Drosophila melanogaster: one gene and its partner. The protein of the gene in region 1 purifies or fractionates together with the protein of each later gene. This does not show direct contact. Each region holds a gene or a part of one and is shown in the gene's direction. Other genes may lie near its edges.

Region 1 (4,838 bases):
TTAGTTACAAAAGTGGACGATTTCAACTAAACGATTATTTTTAGTAGCTTATTTATAGCTTTAATTCTCTGTAAATATGTATAACAAAAATATTGTAAGTAAAAAAAATCCATTTATTTTGCAATTACACATTTTGATTTATATAGTGATCTATTCGGTTTTAATATAATTTCGCCGAAGTATTCTAGAAAAGCGACCTTTAATAAGCAACCGAAATACTTTGCGATCCTTAACGCTTAAATGGGCGTCCGAAATGAAGTTCGTTTCTGGCATATAGCTGGGTATAAATTTCGAGTTAACTGTAAATCCCTTTGCGTAATACCGTTTATTCTAAAACACAATTTCCAAAATACGATATTAGAGAGTTTTATACAATTTCTTACCAGTGTTAATTACCATTTTCAACGGACATTGTATAGGAAAATTGGCGGTTTCGCGAAGCTGCGTAGTAACCATTCTAAATAAAAAATGATTTTCCACACTTGATAGCATCTGACAATAGTCTACATGTGAAGAGGTAAAATTCGTCACGTATGAACCTCTCTTAAATGTCAAAATGTAAATGCCCTTCAGGTCCTCAACATCTTGGGTTAATATGAACTCTGCGTATATTGAACCAGTGGGGTGGGAAGTTTCATTTAAGTAGCAGCTTACGTTTCTCACCAATTCTGGCATATAATTGAGGCACTCAATTTTCGTCATAAAAACTTCTTTCTATACGTTGAGATAGGTTAATGTAGTAGGACTTACATATATGATTCTATACTACTGACCTCTGCACGAACACTGCTCAAGATTAGGGTCCCCAGAATCAGGTCAACCAATATAAAAAGCTTTTTGACGTTCATACTAGTGGATAACTAATTGAAGACTAAAATCTAATGCATTTCAAACGCACGTAGGTGTGTATATTTTAAAATAAATGGGTTTTTAATGTGCTCAATTAGTGTATTACCTAATTTGTAATTGCTTATTTTTGTTGATAGAACATTAATATCGGTAAATTATTTGGACTTTTCAAGTTGGAGATGCGCAAAGTACTAATAGTATAAAATAATACTATAAAATTATTATATTATAATATATTATAATATTATATTATAATAATTAATACGGATTAGAGTGGGAGATCTGAAACAAATTTGCACGAATATGAAGCATTTAGAATCAGCTTAATAATAGTTTTCTAGTAATAACATATTGAAATAATTTGTATTCTTAAAAAAGAAAAACGGGTTTAAGATGAGTGATGATTTAGCTAGAACTTATACGTTTTCTTTATTTTACTGCGAACGCGATTTTACTGAATATAATTTCTATCAAAGCCCTTGAAGTAATTATCTTGATACCTATTAATTCTTCTTTAAATGGGCTATCCATACTATTACGCATTTATATTTAATTTATTTTTGATTTCTATGACTAATTTCTTGGTTAGATTCAGGACGATTTCATCATATTTTGAATAAGTGGTGCGAAATTACTTTTTTATTGGTCCATTCGACCAGTCTAGCATACAAAATATTTTCGTTAATAACATTGCATAAATTTATAGCTCTAATATATTTTATAATGACTTATTTATTTTGCAGAAACTTGTTTCAAAAAATTAACGTTTGGTGATTCGTTTGGTGATTACGTTACGTGATTCCGGGCAGGCCTTACGTTTCACGTAGCTCTGTTCCGTTTACCAAATCGTTTCGCGAGCTTTTTGGACCGGCGCATTTGTAATTCCATCTCTCTATTTTTCCTCCCCCGCATTTCTTAATCGTTATCGCTCTCTCTCTGCGAATTTTGCAAAACAACGGCCGGCCGTTTGGAAAAGTCGGAAGAAAGTCAGTTGGCAAGTGGAAATCACCGGAAAAACTACACAGCGCGGCAGAAGGAAAAACGTGAAAATCGCAGACGCTTACACCGCAGACGGGAAATAAAAAAAGCCAAAAAGCAGCCGCGAAAGGCAGCGCAGTCGACGTTGGCAGCGCCGAGGGCTGATAACAATAGTTAATAACAATAACAAAGCGGAATAAAAACAAAAGAGAGAAGCACATGAAAAGATAATATGTAAAAACCGAAACAAACAAAAAATCGCGCGTTTAATTAACGGACATACGACGTGAGCAGCGCGGTCGACGCCGCAGTCGCAGTTGGCGTCGCAGTCGCCGTCGCGCATTGGTGTGTGTTTGTGTGAGTGTGCGTGAGTATCTGTGTGAGCTGGAGATATAAAACTGCAATTGATTGCAATTTCGGCGGCATTTGCAAAATAGCAAGCCGGCGAAGAACACAAAACCGAGAAATCGAGAGATCTGCAAATAAAATATACAAACAAATAAAAATATATTAGTAATAAACTTATACAAAAACACAACAAATATAAAATCAGCACAACAAAAACACAGCCAAACGGTAAAGATACGAAAAAGCTAACTCATTTGTGTATCTAAAATAATAACAAAAAGCAATTCGAAAATGAGTACTTCTTGCATTTGTGTGAGCGCAGCTGTTGATGAAAGTGAAGGAAAATCATTCACATTTTCTACGGGAAAATGGGAAAGACAACAACAGCCACACACTCACACAGCTGCAAAAGAAAAGAGAGCACAGAGAGCTAAACTCAGACGACGCCAAGTTCTTTTTTTCCGCTTTTCCGTTGTTTGCATTTTATTTTTGTTTTCTGTTGTGTTTTTCGCACACAGGGAGGAAAACTCAGCCACTTATAAGTTTAAATTTTGAGTGTACACATCTTGTTTCAGTTGTTGTTTGTTTAAGAACATAAACTTTTTATAAATTCAAATGTTAAACGTAGATATTTCGACGTAGCTTTAAAGGACTAAATACTCTTTATATTGCTTTTTTTGCCCAGAATATAAAAGAATATATTTAACTTTACATAAGCTTATATTTCCAACAACGCTAAAAATACACTTTTTAACTTGTTGATTTCTTGACCATTTTTGTTAAAGTTTTTCGGAATTTCACATTTTTTTTATAAATGTAAGTTCGAATATTTATTTCTTTTTCCTTATTACACCTTATTACACTTTATTAAAGTTCATTCAAGTTCATTAACAAAGACAATATTATTTTTAATTAAAGTCTAAATTTGAACGATTTTTTTTGCATTTGTGGAATAATGTTGAAAACAATAAGATTGTTGTAAATAATCAATAAAGAATTGATCCAAGACAGGTCAATTTTTTTCTGTGTACATTTACGAGTCGAGTTCACAAGCCAGACAGCACTGTTGCTTTTGCTGCTGTTTTTGTGAGAGTATCTCATAGCTAGCTACCTAGCTGCAAAAAGTATCTAGATACTTTTGCCGAGTTTCCTACTCTTTTATCCGGCTGTCTGTTTATTGAGACGCGTCTTCAAGTTTTTTCCCCACATCATTGCATTCTTTAATTCCCTACATTTTAAATAGGAGCAGTTTCAGATGTTTCGAAATATTTATAAATATTTTCTTGCACTCGCATGTTGGCCGGCAGTCAAAGTAACACTCAACTTCAACTTCTGTCTGCGCACTCTAATTGAGTTAGTCTGGCATTTCAATGGGAGCAGCAAGCACACGCACCGCTTCTGGTCGAAAGGGGCGGAATGGTATTAGCAAGAAATGGGGGCGGGGCCGGGCTCCAGACTCAGCGGGTGGGAAATCCGGGGGGTGGCTCTTGCAGGGGTCACAGCCTAACCCGTGTGTTAAATTATGCAAAACGCTAAGGGAATGTCGAAGCAATAAGTGCAGAAATGTTTACATTCTCTGGCCAACGAAGAATATTATTCATATTTGCGTTTGGGTTAAATAAATAGGAAATTTGGTCATTTTGGTTAATTATTTTCCTAAATAATAATTAATTTTTGTTTCTTGTTATTTCTAATTATGCAATATTTATTTAGTTCTTTGAAGTAATGATTAAACCCAATCTTAATTTTAATTTCCCTCTACTTCCTTCTGATTGAGTGTATTAAATATTTCACTGAAATATTTTTCTTTTTCATTAATGCAAATGGCTTTTGAACTATTCCACACACCCACTGGTGTCTCATTTATATCTTCGCAAAGCACATTCATAAAAAAGGAACCTACAATTTCGCTCCAAACAACTTTTTTATCATAGCCCGGCTTACACGTACGAACACATATATTTTTGGGTATTTTAAAGGGTTAACACACGCTATACGACTGCCAAACTTTTCCACGTTGGCTTTTTGTGCTGGTCCTTTTATTTTGTGAAAATGTTTGGCATTTTTTGTATTAAATTGTCAGTGAAACGAGCGTTGGACCGTTTCCGAGGGGCATGGCAACAATTCAAAACGTGAACTGCCACTAAAACATGCCAAAAATCTGCGCATTTAAAATATTTGCCCCAGAGCCCATTGAGATCCAGCCAAGCGATGGATGGGCGGCGGAAGGGGAAAAGAGGAAAAATGCAGGCATTTTCCTGCGATTTGATTTAGTTGTTGTTGGCCGGGTTACACCTTTTCACTCACACCTGTCGTCTGTGTTTTTCTATTTTCAATTTTTTTTTCAGCAAACTACACGTCTGCGTTTTGGTTGCCCCCTGCAAGTCCTTTGTTTTCTATTTAATAGCTGTTTTAGCCACTTGCACGTGATCAACAATTAATTGGCAATATCTTTTTCAGGTTCGTCAAATCAAGCGGATCTCTCCAGCCAAAATAATCAGCAATCTGATGTAGCAAACGCCTATATATAGAATATACGAAAATGCAACCATTCCGTTCCGCGCCGTGCTAATGCAAACGTATACGATCCGAAACCGATAAATATAGAAATACAATAAACCCAAGTGAAATAGCAATTTTAAACGCCAATAAAAACAAAATAT
Region 2 (7,209 bases), on another chromosome or scaffold:
CCCTCATAAAAACCAATGACGAATTTATCTGCGGAGGATCGGTAATTACTAACAAATTCGTCTTGACGGCCGCTCATTGTATGTGCACCGATGAGGAATGCATTGTAAAGTACACTCAGCTGTAAGCACCTTAAATTAATAAATAATATAATATAATTGAATAATTATATGTGATTTGCAGCACAGTTACCTTGGGTGTGTACCATCTACTGGCGACGGGTGAACACAATCATCCCCACGAGATATACAACGTGGAGAGGGTCTACATCCACGATTCCTTCGCGATACAAAACTATCGCAATGACATAGCGCTTCTTAGGTTGCAAAAAAGTATCGTTTACAAGCCACAAATCAAACCGTTATGTATTTTACTGAACGACCAACTCAAGCCGCAAACGGATCTCATCCAGGAGTTCACAGCAATCGGCTGGGGCGTAACGGGCAATGGGAAGATGAGTAACAATCTTCAAATGGTCAAGATCTACAGAATAGATAGGAAAATGTGCGAGGCAGCATTTTGGTACACTTTTGATTACCCAATGTTCTGTGCCGGCACCGCGGTAGGCAGAGATACCTGCAAAAGGGACTCCGGTGGACCCTTGTACATACATATGTTGTTCGATGGCATCAAGCGAGCAACGCAGTTGGGAATCGTCAGCACTGGCACCGAAGATTGCAGAGGTTTCGGTATGTACACCGATGTAATGGGCCATATCGACTTTATCGAGCGCATTGTTCTGGATGCGGACATTGAGGTGGTGCTACCCTATATAGACCTACTCGATGCTGGGTGTCTGGGCAACGACACGTTGAACAGCTGGGATAGAAGTGGTCCCGATGCGATCAGGTCCTTCGAGTGGTTGGCTGAGGTCTACAAGGATTCCTTTATAATCTCAAACGGCGCACTTATTTCGAAAAGTTGTCATCTTTTCTTTCCTCATTCGAAAAGATTACTAATGTGTTCTTCTTGTAGCTTTCGTGGTGACAACGGCGCAGTTGATTTCCGAAAGTACGGCATTGTAAGTACTTTGATCCCTTGGGAGGAGAAAGTTGAGTAATCTGAGTGCAATTGTATGTACATACATCTAGAAAGGTTCAACTGGGACAAGGCGATGTGCATACCTACGCTGTCGCATCTGTTCACAAGCATCCCAAATTCGTTAGCCTGGCCCAAAACGACATAGCTCTGCTTAAACTGGGCGAGGAAGTGCAGTACACGGGTGAGTGTCTTCCAAAGGCCATACGGATTAGCTTCATAATCATAATGTGTTCATTTTATGCGGCTAGAATCGATTCGACCGATCTGCCTGCCCTCGCTAAGCAACAAAGCGGAGCAGCAGAAGTTCCAAAGGCGTGCTGCTGATCCCGCCCTGAATCTCATAGCCGTTGGCTGGGGCACGCCGACTAACGTGGTGGTGCGGCGAACAAATGCCAGTAAGTGCTACCGGGAGGATCACCAAGACATCGGAGAGCAACAGTTGTGCATGGAAAGCCCTTCTCCTCATCTCCTGCGCGTGGGCATTGGCAGTCCCTTGGTAAACCCTCTAACCCACGGAAACAGGAGGGCATTCAGCCTGGTCGGACTGGCGAGCTTTGGCAGGTTAGAGCCTTTCGCTTCAAATGTCTACACCAATGTTCTCGAATACTTGGACTGGATCGGGGAAATGGTTAAGGCGTAGAGAATTCTTTGAAAAGTTTTAAGTTCTGCGATATGAAAACCATTTGATTTAATAAAGTTAATAGTAATAATAATATCAAAAATTTCATATACTGTAAGCCCACTTAACGAGAAGTTTAAATGCTTGCAAAATTACTTATATATTCAGAAATACTATTTTAGTAATAGTTGTTATTAAATGTATTGTAATTTCTTTTAAAATTCCATTTCAACAAAAACTTAACAAACAATAATTTAAATTTGAAATTTTTTGCAAAATTATTTATATTAAAATTTGCTGTTTTAGTATTTTCCAGCATTTGCGGTCGGTCACACTGAAATTCAAGCAAGAAGCAGCACGCGCCGCAGAAATTTGCCAATAATTTTCGTCCTCGCAAGCGTCGCAAGAGGAGGCGTCGTGTGATGGAAATGGCAACGGGAGCAGTATCTGGAGCAGCCGCAGCGGGTGCTGGAGCGTCGGTGGAGCAGCTGGTAGCCCAGACACTGCAGGCGGCCACAAATCCGAGCCATGAGATTGTCCAGAAGGCGGAGGCGCAGCTGCGCGAGTGGGAGCAGCAGCCGGGCTTCTTTCCCACGATTGCCCGTCTGAGCATGCGACGAGGTGGCGGCGGCGACGTGGTGTCCAGTACGGAGGACTCCGAGGTGAAGGTGCGCTGGATGGCGGCTGTCTACCTAAAGAATGGCGTGGAGCGCTATTGGCGGCCCAATTCGCGGCAGGAACTGCCCGCGGAGCAAAAGCAGCAGATCCGGGAAGTACTTCTGCGTCACTACGACGCAGAGGAAGTGCCCCAGGTAGCCCTGCAGGTAGCCGTGCTCCTGGGTCGCCTGGCACGCACGGATTACCCGCGATTTTGGCCGGATCTGCTGCCGACACTCATGAAGCAGCTGCAGTCCTGCGGTACGGATGGGGATTCGGCCCTGCAGCAGCGAATTCTTATTGTCCTACACTATGTCCTCAAGGCCCTGGCCTCACGGCGTCTGATGGCCGAGCAGCGTGCCTTCCAGGAGCTGGGCTTACAGATATTTGGATATCTGGCGTGGGACATTTGGGCACCACTTACGACGCGCTTTTTGCAGCTCGTGCGAAAGGACGAGGCCATGGCCCTCAATGCCCTTCAACGGGCGTATGTGGTGATGAGAACCCTGCGCAAGCTGGTGGTCTACGGCTGTGCCAAGCCGTACAAGTCCACGGATCACATGAACTTTGTGGAGCAGCTTTTCCAGCGGTTGCGACAGTGCCTCGAACTGCGCTATGAACTGAAAGTGGGATCGGCCACACCAGGCACTGCCACGATACTCACCGAATTGGAGCGCTTTGTGATTAAGATGATGAAGACCCTCAATGAACTGATGGAGCGGCATTCTGTGTCCTTTGCGAGGTTCGTTCCTGTGGCCCTGGAGTTCAGCTTCCACTATGTGTTCCACGAGGGCACCGCCCTCATTTTCGACGCCGGCGATCGCATTAACTTTAAAAACTTTGCCATACAGGCGCTGAACATGCTGAAAGGTATCATGCTGAGCGGCAACGATAGCATCAGTGCTCCGCCCGAAGGTGGTGCTCACATAGAGGATGAGCTGTTAGCCAGCGCTGCTCAAAGCCAAGCCAAGTTCTTCACAGCGGAGCGAGTGACCTACATCTGTGAGAAGATCGTGACGCACTATTTTCTGCTCACTCAACAGGAGCTGGAGGAGTGGCAGCAGGATCCAGAGGGCTATGACCAGGACGACGGCGGTGGTGATGCTTGGAAGTACGCCTTAAGGCCAAGCGTGGAGACCCTTTATTTCACATGTTTTACTCAGCATTCGCAAGTGATGATTCCGGAGGTGCTCCGTTTCGTAAGGCGTGCCCAGCAATTGCAGCTGACCCCGGAATCTGACCTGAAGGCCATTCTACTGAAAGACGCTATCTACAATGCCGTAGGCCAGGCAGCCTTTCATTTCTTTAACAAGCTGGACTTTGGCGCATGGCTGACATCCCAATTGCTTGCGGAGCTGCGCGTGGAAGCTCTGAACTTTCGGATCCTACGGCGTCGCATCATCTGGCTGGTAGGCCATTGGGTTGGCGTCCAGTTGCCCAGAGAACTGAGACCGCTGGCTTACGAAGCATGCCTGCATCTTCTCCGGCCGCAGGAGGACATGCCCACCAGGTTGGCCGCTGCCAGGACGTTGAATCTGTTGATCGACGATTTTGAGTTTATGCCGGAAGCGTTCCACCCGTATTTTCCATCCCTCTTCGAGGCCCTCTTTTTGCTGCTCCATGAGGCCGGCGAGTGCGACACCAAGATCGTGGTGCTGGGCACGATGACGCTACTTGTGGAGAAGATGAGCGAGTACATCGAGCCGCAGGCATTGCAGTTCATTGCGTATTTACCCCTCCTGTGGCGCGAGAGCGAGGAACACGACCTTCTGCGCTGCGCCATCATTGGCACCCTAGAGCAGCTGGTTCGAACGATACGGGATGTCCCAGAGCCCATGAAGCCCTTCCTCTACAGCGTGATCGAGCTGAGCACGGATCTTCAGGTGAGTGATTTTTTATGTTTAATTCCATATGCTATACATTTTTTTTTATTTATTTACAATAAGAATTTTTACATAGTTGAGTCAGTTTTGAGTCCAGCGGGTAATACTGAGTATCCAGTTAGTAAAACTTGGAACGTATGTGTAGACTCCTGGCCCTCGACACAAGTAGTGACCATAGCTGACAATACCTAGCTGAACGGTGCGGGTTATGCGGCCATTTGACATTTTCCTCGACAGCGGACCGCCTGAGTCACCGCTACAGGTGTCCGCCCGCCATTGTCCAGCGCAGAACTGACCGTATGAAAGCGAAGTGCGCAGGGATCGCTCACAGTCGCTTTGGTCAAGCCTGATCAGGTTCACTGTTTGCAGAACTGTGGCGGTGTTGATTAGATCAATCTTACCCCATCCAGCGGCCTCGTAGGTGGAACTATAAGGTACTTGGCCTGGATCCCGGAACAGACAAATTGGTCGAATGAACACTGCAAATGAGAATAATAGTAAAGTAACTGTAATGCACACCGCTTAGTAGATCCGTTCATCCGTAGAGCAATATAAAATTGGGGATAAACTAAATTGATACATATGATGGCATCTAACATTTGTAAACGACGGTTCCATTTAGTTTAAGCAATCCAATGTCGTTGCGACTGTCTTGTCTTCCACCGAAGAATGTATGGATGTAGGCGTTCTCTACGCTGTACTCCTCATACGTCGGAATACAGAACTCAGATGTACAATCGATGCGTGTCGATGTGTCGTATTCCCCAAGGCGAACCGTTCTGTGTTTTAGAATTAATTTAGTTTAAAAATCAAATACGAGCTTATACTTTATACTAACAACAAATGGAAGCTGTGCAGGCAGTGCGCTGCGGTGAGTACAAACCCTAGGAAAATCATTGTTAAAAATACAATTCGTAAATCACAAATTTCCGAAGGTACAAACTTTTTGTGATCAATGTGCCTGTACAAACTAAAGACGAGTTTTTGTGCAAGTAGGCCAACCACGGATTAGATCCTATATCTGCAGTTCTACCTCCAACGATTCTATTCGTGGGCGGAAGATTGATGGTAGTTCCGCAATTGGGATCAATAAACTGGGCTCTTAGTTTTGGTGTTAGACAAACCAGAAAGGCGAAACTAGCAATCCACAGCGATTTCATCTTGAGGTCAACACTGGCTGTACTGATTATTTTTAATGGTTTAGCATTCATTCTTTCACAACAATCTTATCTGTAACTAAGCTAAAATATAGCATTTTATGAAACCGCAATGAGTAACAATACCTAACTTTTTTTCGCACAGCAACCCTCGCACGTCTACCTCATCGAAGATGGTATCATGCTCTGGCTGGCGGTGATTGGGAACTCGACTGCACTGACACCCGAACTACTTGGTCTGTGCGACCACCTTCTGCCTATTATCGAGATGTCATCGGAGAACCTGCGCACCGTGCTGCAGCTGATTCATGCCTATATACTGCTGGACGCTCAGGCCTATCTGAGTCGTTACGGTGAGGGTTTCGTGGCCTACTGCGTGCGCTCTTTCGAGGACATACGTGTGGAGGGAATAATTGCCATGCTGCGGATCATCGAGACATGCCTGAAAACGGACGCGGCGTTGGGACTGCGGCTGGTGCGCCCAGCACTGCCCTTTGTCTTCCAGCAGGTGTGCCTTAAGCAGGAGTATCCCATGACAATGGGATGGTATCTGACCATCGTGGCCCGCACCCTGCTCATTGACCAGTCTGTTTTCATGTCGGTGGTACAGCAATTGCCACAAGCGGACGCTTTGGCCCGCATCCTGGACGTTTGGATCGAGATGTTCCCAATGGTTCCCGACACGCACGCAGAGAAGAGAAAGCTCTTCTGCCTGGCCTTCGCCTCGATCTTTGGAAGCAATGAGCTGCTGCTTGCTCGCCTGCCACATATCCTGCAGCTGGTGGACGAAACGTTGGGCGAAGTGATGGACAAGCAGTACGCCGCCACCGAGGAGGGTGCGTCACAGGCCACGCCTCGCTTCTATGATTCATTGGTCATTCATGACGAACACGAGCTGGACGATCTGCAGCAGCAGCTGGGCAGTGGCGGCGGTGTCAGCGAGGAATTTCACACCAAGGGCTACCCGGCCAAGACCTATCACGACGACCGCCACAGGCAGTTGGTGCTCAAAGATCCCGTTTACAAGATCCCCCTTACCGAGTATCTCAAGTGGCAGCTGCAGTCGTTGCAGGCACAGCTGGGATCCCAGCGATATGAGCAGGTAATGTGCTCCGTGGTTCCCGAGGTACGGGAAAGGATTACCATGTACATAGAGCAGACTGTGCCCAAGGCCTGTGTGGTGTGCGCGGGCTCCGGCTCCGGATCGGGAGCGCCTGCGGACAGGACGCTCTCCGAACAGGTGGAGTCCGGCTGATTCCGGACTGCTGTGCTTTAAAAGCTTTCTACGCTAAGTTATTAATGTATTTTGTATTGAAATTATATATTTTTAATTGTTAAAAACTATGTTCTACGCGTTAATCCACCGCCGGTCTGCGCTCCATTTTGCCTCTAAGCAGCGCACATATCGTTTCCTCCTTCTGCTGTAACTTATGACGCAACTTGTCCATTTCTTCTGCATTCCGGGCATGCAATCCGCGCAATTGTGACTCCTTGTGCTGGACAAGTACTTCCAGGCGGCGTACCGCCTCGTAGGTATCGCGCACCTCAGCCTGCCCTGCCTCCAGCTTTTGGGCCCACTGCAGCGCCATTCTCAGACGAGCCTTAAGCCGATCTCTGCTGTGCTTGGCTTTTTCCGTGCTGCGGACCAGTGAAGCTGCCCGTGCGGTGGTGGCTTGCAGCTGTTCCTGGAGGCAAGTTCGCTCTCTCGCATGCTCCTGCCGCAATTGCTCAAGCAGGGCTTTGCACTGATGCAGTGCCTCGGATTCGGCGGGAACTGGAGGAGCAACCGCAGCGGGCGCCGCCGATGAGGCACTTTTAAGCGCGGCTAGTTCGGATTTAGTTCGCGCGTAGGCC

What was found.
Region 2: the proteins of fz2 (region 1) and Impbeta11 purify together in Drosophila melanogaster (affinity purification with western blotting, with the first as the bait; one study listed by BioGRID). This does not show direct contact.

The regions. Positions count from the first base shown.
Region 1 is NT_037436.4:19,232,370-19,237,207, reverse strand, and holds the start of fz2 (frizzled 2), read left to right. Parts: upstream 1-1,834; 5' UTR 1,835-2,194; exon of another isoform or gene 2,195-2,403; intron 2,404-4,635; 5' UTR 4,636-4,838. Other genes in the region: CG33647 (uncharacterized protein), read right to left, coding at 151-330, 397-714, 774-848. UniProt on the Drosophila melanogaster protein: Receptor for Wnt proteins.
Region 2 is NT_033778.4:15,680,725-15,687,933, forward strand, and holds Impbeta11 (importin beta11), read left to right. Parts: upstream 1-1,994; 5' UTR 1,995-2,080; coding exon 2,081-4,198; exon of another isoform or gene 4,199-4,209; intron 4,210-4,279; coding exon of another isoform or gene 4,280-4,677; intron 4,678-4,795; coding exon of another isoform or gene 4,796-4,977; intron 4,978-5,036; coding exon of another isoform or gene 5,037-5,082; intron 5,083-5,141; coding exon of another isoform or gene 5,142-5,358; intron 5,359-5,500; coding exon 5,501-6,610; 3' UTR 6,611-6,691; downstream 6,692-7,209. Other genes in the region: CG30091 (uncharacterized protein), read left to right, coding at 1-121, 182-918, 974-1,019, 1,090-1,220, 1,288-1,679; CG30082 (uncharacterized protein), read right to left, coding at 4,280-4,677, 4,796-4,977, 5,037-5,082, 5,142-5,358; Cep89 (centrosomal protein 89kDa), read right to left, coding at 6,711-7,209.